Oryzias latipes: one gene and its partner. The protein of the gene in region 1 interacts with the protein of each later gene in a pairwise test. Links are inferred from orthologs where the notes say so. Each region holds a gene or a part of one and is shown on either strand. Other genes may lie near its edges.

Region 1 (3,754 bases):
AAGTGGACTAAGAGTCATAATTGCAATTGTTATTATTTATTATTTTACTTTCTCCCTCTTTGAGACCTAATTAGACCCCTAATATGCATGAAAATCCGCAAAACTGATTCAAAAATTTGTCATAAAAAGTAAACGATTTGTTCTCTTCCAACAAAAAAAACTAAGTAAAATTGGGCCAGTAAAACCTTTTTTTTATATATATATATCCCCTAAGAAAGAGCCATCCAGTAAAAATCATTAAATTTCTTTATGCTCCATCTTCACTGATGTCATGGACCATGGAATGTAGAGGAGCGGGTGGGGTTTTACTGTGGCACCATTTTCAGATGGGGCTGCAGAGTTAGAGGATGAGCATCACGCCTTAATCCTGTTCTGTTGCAGCACAGGCCGAGGAGAAGCTGCTGGGGGCAGCAGACAGACCTGGGGGGCTGTTGATGGGCCCATGGTGCAGGGTGGCAATGGTCATTCAACAGTCGTTGCAGCTTTAAATGTATTTGTTTTTAGGATAATTTAGCAAACCCATCAAGATGACATGAACAGAGTTCATATGCCGGAGTCTCTAAAGTCCATCTTTGTCCATTTTCCCTTTAACATCTCCACACAATATGATCGGACATAGTGGAAAATGCTGAGATGAAAACAATGCAGAGATCACACAGAACAATTCACTTGTGCTCTGCGTGATAAACCGACTACATCTAGATGGTTTTAAAATCTGAAATCAATCCCTGTGGTTTTATTTTCACTTTGAACGAACCCATCTGACTTTCATGTCATTTTGATCCAGAAGACTTGGTCCTTTTAAGAAAAATTTCCTGCAGGTTTGTGATCAAAGGTTGTTAACAAAAGCAGACAGCCTCATGGCAGATTGAAGGCAGCCGTTTAGAAAAGTAATGTTTCAACTTGACTGAACTCAGATCTTCATGCCGAAACACAGAGTTTAGTTGCCCTGAGCAACTGGAATCTCGTCATCTGTTGAGCAGTGCTGCCTTCATCCCTGACAACGCACACCAACAATGCAGACCTACCTGTATCTGCTGGGGGTCCATGATATTGACGGGGAGGTTGAAGGTTCCAAGCATGACATAGCTGTTGGCATTGCGATCGTGTGGAGGCACCTGCGATGCTCCCTGGGAGGATGAAGACTGCCCGCTGTCGGCTGCGGTGGCCCCTGACCCCGAGCCAGGCTGGGAGGGTGGAGGGGGGGCCCGCTCCACAAGGTGAATCACCTTTCCAGCCACATCTACAAGAGTAGCGGAGAATATGGTCAGCTAAAACAGAAGCAGTGGCAAATCAGCAGAAAGAGCAGATGGAACCAAAAACTAATTCAATGACAGAATTTTTACTTAAAAGAAATAGTTTTGAAATGCTCCTTGGTGGTGTGATTGAAAGGAGGCAGAAGGGATGTTCAGATGGAGAGACTCCCTGAAGCAACAAGCTGAAAGGTTAAGAGGAGGAAGATTTAATATATCCTTTGACTAACTGTAGTCTGCCAGCGTCCTTTCATCCTGCAGTACTCTGCCCTGGTAGATGAGCCTCTGTTTGTCCACAGGGATGCCCACTGAAGGAGAAATGTGCTCTTTGAACTCTTTAACTGTCAGCTGCAAAACAATGGATCATTTCAGTCAGATCATAAAAGACAAAAGGAAACTACCCAAATATTTACAGCAGGAACTTTCCATTTACCTGAGCACCGACTGAGTAGGTTCTGCTCTGAGAGTCCAGAGTTTTGACCGTCACTTCTATGTCTGAGGTTTGTTCATCCATAGCGTTCCTGCAATTGTATTACATCTTCAATTACAAATTATTCTGTTTATGTGACTTTTTAAAGTGTTTGTACACTTTTACAAAAATTTTGATAAGCACCAGGTTATTTAACAATCTGTTCAACAAGCATGGTGCGTCCACGGCATGTTTATAAGTTTATGAAGAACAGTGAGCGTAGTTTCCAATTTTTCAGCAATCATCTAGATCACCTCTTCTTTTTAACAAACAGGCAACGTTGAAGTGAATTTATTAACCAGCCTTTAGTCTAGAAAATAAAATCTCTAACTAAGGAATCCGGATAACTACAATCAGCTGAATTATTTAGCTCTAATTTAAAATACATTATTAACTGAGCTATTTCCTAAACAAGAATTTTAATAAACATACAATTAACGTAAAATAGCATCTATATCTTTATGTTAGACTCAGTGGGTTAAATTTGATTTAATGCTTTGTTTTTTTCCCAAAGACGGACTCCCTGTACTAGCGTTAGCCAAAAACAGTTAGCCCGGCTGTATTCGCTAAACAAGGACAGGAGCGATGTAATATTAAACTAAGATTTAGGACAGACAGTATAACAAAAGATAGAAAGTAACATATCGCCACTTGCTCTTCAGCAGGATTACTTTTTTTAGGAACCAAATAAACGCCGACTGGCTAATTAGCCAAACAGATTAGCTAAAGATGCTAACTGATCTGTCGTGTCGCTACTAATGCTTAAGCGCAGAACATTCCGTTTTTTATGCGTCACACCGTCAAACGCTTACCTTTTAAATCATACAATGTTTTTTAACGTATCCAGAGTCCACAGGAGGCTCTTATATTCAGAAAGCCGAGCACTTCTCCGGTGCGTCGCGGCTATGCTACAGCTAACAGCTTTTAGGGCTGAACGGATGTGACGTCAGAAAGCCGCCGGACTGCTGTCGAGGTCAAAGAAGCAAAGATGGCGAATGTGCTAGAGGCGACGAGCCGACAACAGTTCGAGGATTTCCTTGCAAAAGCTGGAAAAAACCTCGCGGTTGTACATTTCCAGGCGGCATGGGCTCCTCAGTGCGGCGACATGAACGAAGTGATGGCCGAGCTGGCCAAGGCACACGCGCACGCGACGTTTGTGAAGCTGGAGGCGGAGGCTGTTCCCGATGTGTCGGAAAAGTATGACATATCCTCCGTCCCCACTTTTATCTTCTTCAAGGGGGGTGAGAAGGTGGATCGTCTGGACGGGGCGCACGCTGCGGAGCTGACTAAGAAGGTCCAGGGCCTGGCGGGTAGCGGGCCCGCCCCAGGAGGAGCCGCGGACGGCGGCGCCGCGGACTTGAACCAGCGGCTGAAGAAGCTGATCAACGCGGCGCCCTGCGTGCTGTTCATGAAGGGCTCCCCGCAGGAGCCCCGCTGCGGCTTCAGCCGCCAGATGGTGGCGCTGCTCAAGGAGCACAGCGTCCAGTTCAGCACCTTTGACATCCTGTCAGACGAAGAGGTCCGTCAGGGCCTGAAGGCGTACTCCAACTGGCCCACCTACCCCCAGCTGTACGTGAACGGAGAGCTGCTGGGGGGGCTGGACATCGTGAAGGAGCTGGCCGAGTCCGGGGAGCTGGAGACCACCTGCCCAAAGGCCGTGACCCTGGAGCACCGCCTGAAGGCCATCATCAACCAGAGCCCCGTCATGCTGTTCATGAAGGGCAACAAGGAGGCGGCGCGCTGTGGCTTCAGCAGGCAGATCCTGGAGGTCCTGAACTCCACGGGGGTGGACTTTGACACCTTTGACATCCTGTCGGACGAAGAGGTCCGTCAGGGCCTGAAGGCGTACTCCAACTGGCCCACCTATCCCCAGCTCTACGTGAAAGGGGAGCTGATCGGGGGCCTGGACATAGTGAAGGAGCTGAAGGAGAGTGGGGAGCTGGAGTCGGTACTGAGGGGGGAGTCGTAGATGGACGGGGAACAGGACATCACTGCACAGGCCTGCACCAGCTGCTGCACCCCTCAGAGGTCC
Region 2 (3,654 bases), on another chromosome or scaffold:
GCCCTGGGATGGAGGTGATGGTCACAATTCGGACAGCCTCGAGTCTCTAGATACAGATGTGGTGAGAAAATGAACACAAGCATGACAGTAATGTTGATGCCTCCCATGTGGTACATCAAAAGTTATTATTTTAGCCACAATATTGACAAAAACACATCAGAGTTTTAGCAATTTATTTAGACCTTTCTGTGAAATTCTACTTTCTCCTCAAACCAGTCAAACGGATGGGATCCCAATGATATGTTCAAGTACAACGAGGAGAAGTATGGAGTCTTGTCCACGTATGACAGCAGCCTGTCCACATATACGTAAGCTCTGACCTGCTTCTTCATCTACATATTGCTAACACAAGGCGGGGAACACTGGAAACGCATGCTAGATAAGCCTGGCTGTCAACATTGTGCACCGTTCTCGACCAATTCGATCTTGTTTCCCAGACTCCCCTTGGAGCGTGACAACTCTGAAGAGTTCCTGAAGAGAGAAGCTCGTGCTGCTCAGCTGGCAGAGGAGATTGAGGCCAGCGCCTCGTACAAGGCCCGCGTGGCGTTGGAGAACGATGAACGCACTGAGGAGGAAAAGTACACTGCTGTGGTGCGAGGGGACAGGGAGACTCACACACTTGGCAGGTGAGAGCAAGACGCACGCCACAAACCATCATCATGTACAGATCTCTGCGTTGAGGTTTAGTAGGGGGTTAATAGCATGTTGGGATTTTATTATGTTAATCTTCTTCAGTAGTTCTATACTTCAAGTTCCATTGAAATTCAACAGTAGATTAAAAAAAAAGTACAATAGTTTTTAGTTCTTTTTATCTTTTTTTTACCCTTGCAGGAACAGTTTCTCAAAGTGAACTATGTGAGGTTGTGCAACTAGACCTGCCTGTTATCTAAATCTACACGCACTTCCATAAAGCTGTGTAGGCCCTGAATACATTGTTAGGAGGAAAAGTTCCTAAAAATTAAACTACACTGAACTGAACCAAGTCGTAATGAATCTGTTCCTTCACAGACAGGACTTCCAGCAGCTGCTTGTTGAACCACAAGTAATTAAAAAAATATGTGTGTGTGTATATATATCTATGGAGTTTCGTGTGCTTCTAGTTCAAAATAAAGTAAATACAGTTTTCTTTTTTCCTGAATATAAAAATAGCTGACCTGTTTTATAGTTTTGGTTTAGTTTTGGTTTAGTTTTCATATTTTTTGGGTTGTAATTAATACTTATATTTGTTTTCTGTTGTTTGTGCTAAAATGTAAAACAATTTAAAACACACTTTAAAATTTTAAATCAGTTTTTGTCAAAGTTATCTTTAAGATAGTTCACAACGCTGTAATTTTAAAACGGCTCTCTGTGTGCAGCTGAGAGGGTACTGCAGATCAACGCTTCTCCTGTTTATCTGAAACCTCTTGTTTTGTCTTTTTGTATCTAAATGCAGAGAGAACAAGTACGTTCCACCAGGTCAGAGGAACAGGGAGCCATTGTCATGGAGCACAGGGCGACAGAACTCTCCTCGTCTGGGTCAAGGTTCTGTTGGACCTTCAGCTCCTCGGCCGGGACCCCACGACTACAGTCCCAACTCTGGGACAGACCAGAGAGTGGTCAACGGAGGTATGTTTATTGCAGAACTTGCAGTTCAGGGGTTACTTTTTACACTATTAAAAAAAAAAACCTCTTAGTTGATGCTAAAAATGTTTTCTATGGAGTGACGTAAATGTGGCCACCTCTTATTTATTACATTGTCATTTTTCTATCCTTTTTTGTGTAGCCTTTGAAGAATAACAGTTATTATTTCAGATCTTTAATGTTTTAAGAAAAAACATTTCATGTTATTCTGCTTTAGTTGTGCCAACCCTCCCTTTTTCTATTACTGCTATACCTTTTTTGTTTCTTTCTCCGCCTCCACTTTTGCTAGTTCGTCATCCTTGATCATTTGTCCTTGCCTCTTTTAGGTTCATCCCATTGGCCCTCACCCTGTCCGTCTCCTTCCTCTCGTCCCCCCTCTCGTTACCAGTCTGGCCCCTCCTCTCTGCCTCCTCGGGCGACCACGCCCACAAGACCACCCTCCAGACCCCCCTCTCGACCTTCCAGGCCTTCCTCTCATTCGTCCCATCCCTCCTATTCTTCCTCTTCATCCTCCTTTTCTCACCATGGGCCCACGTCGCCAGCCTCCACTCTGCCCAAACGCATGTCTTCAGAAGGTATCCACATGATTGTGGAGCAGACCTGGGCAAAGACTCCATGAAAGTTGAGGGATTGAAGTTGTCACGCTCTAAAAAAACAACAGAACGGTTACAAAAAGGAATAAATACAGTGGAAAAACTACTTTCATAAACACATTTGCCCAGGTCTAATGTCAAACAGAAGTGGTGAAATTGCTTTCTCAGACTGATTTGGGGTCAGATTTTTGACAGATTAACCCAAAAAAAAGTGTTTACCTGTGTTTGCTTTACGCCCTACCGAATGAATCCAATTGGAAGTGCTTAAGGCTGACCCTTTGTCAGTCATACAGGCAGTTTCATCTTGGCATGTGGGTGCATCAAGGTGTTGTGCTGTTTCTGTGCTTTCTGCCTAACAAAGGTGCAAAATGCAAAGTCACCAGTTTCTCACCTTGTTTGCAGCAAAGCAGGGCTCACTTATCAGACTTTTAATCGATAAAACCCACTACTGTACAGCCTCGTGAGGTTGTCAGTGAGATATTTAACACTAAAATGATACTTTCAGAAGTTTGAAAGTCCATTATTAGTAGTTTTTGTTTACTTTGTTTCTGCATTTGCAGGTCACTGGATTGAAAATGTCTATGAAGATGGAAATTTAATAAGCTTTGGCATTACATTTTTATATTTAAAAAATATTTTTTCCATTCCCCCCCCCCCCCCCCCCCCCCCCCCCCCAAAAATGTCTCTACAAGACCATCACTAGCTACTCATTTGCACTCCTGGCGTACATTGGAAATGTGTCTGACTGTCAGACTAGTCAAAGTCAACATGTTCTTCTCAGACCTCAATATAGTTTTGGTTTGATCCAAATTTAACACTCTGTCGCACTTTTAAACTTTTCTTACCATCTTGGATCCAGTTTTTGAAAGATGTTCATAACCTTGAGAAGGAACCTCAATTGTCATTTATTTTACTAATAAATGGCCGATTTTCTATGTTTTCTTGAAAGCTGTGGAATAAGTCAGCAGGATACAGGCAGTAACTCACCATGGAAACCGAAGTAAACTGGGAAATATTTCAGTCCTTACATTGGTTCCACAGATGTAATCTGGTAACAGGACAGTGTTTGGACCAAATGACCTTGAGCAGCTGCATCTCATAATCACTGTTTAGAAATGGTGGGATGAATAATTTAGAGCTTGATGCTTCTAACTTCATAAATAATACATACAAATTTAAAAGAATACACAAAAGGCAATGGAGAACATGCACTCGATACAACAATGTATAACAGTTTAGACTTTCGTTTATTTGATACTGAATCCTGTGAGCTAAATAAAAAGATTTAAGTATAAAATTTGCCCCATTCTTAAAGCATTACTGTCTTTTTCTTTTTTTAGTCCAATATTTTGTCTCACTTTTTTTCCCCATTTTCTGTGTCTGTCCTCCTTTGATTTGAAGTGTCTTTTGGTTTTTCAATTATCACAAGATCAGTTTCTGT

What was found.
Region 2: the proteins of bag6 (region 1) and atxn2 interact in binary tests that used the Homo sapiens proteins (3 or more experiments, as listed by UniProt). The link is inferred for Oryzias latipes from reciprocal best matches to the Homo sapiens genes BAG6 and ATXN2.

Annotation. Positions count from the first base shown.
Region 1 is NC_019874.2:28,120,235-28,123,988, reverse strand, and holds the start of bag6 (large proline-rich protein BAG6), read right to left. Parts: upstream 2,660-3,754; 5' UTR 2,535-2,659; intron 1,777-2,534; exon of another isoform or gene 1,775-1,776; 5' UTR 1,768-1,774; coding exon 1,687-1,767; intron 1,602-1,686; coding exon 1,484-1,601; intron 1,244-1,483; coding exon 1,029-1,243; intron 1-1,028. Other genes in the region: glrx3 (glutaredoxin-3), read left to right, coding at 2,711-3,691. UniProt on the Homo sapiens protein: ATP-independent molecular chaperone preventing the aggregation of misfolded and hydrophobic patches-containing proteins.
Region 2 is NC_019867.2:7,490,989-7,494,642, reverse strand, and holds part of atxn2 (ataxin-2), read left to right. Parts: coding exon 1-61; intron 62-216; coding exon 217-308; intron 309-437; coding exon 438-626; intron 627-1,432; coding exon 1,433-1,605; intron 1,606-1,946; coding exon 1,947-2,195; intron 2,196-3,654. UniProt on the Homo sapiens protein: Involved in EGFR trafficking, acting as negative regulator of endocytic EGFR internalization at the plasma membrane.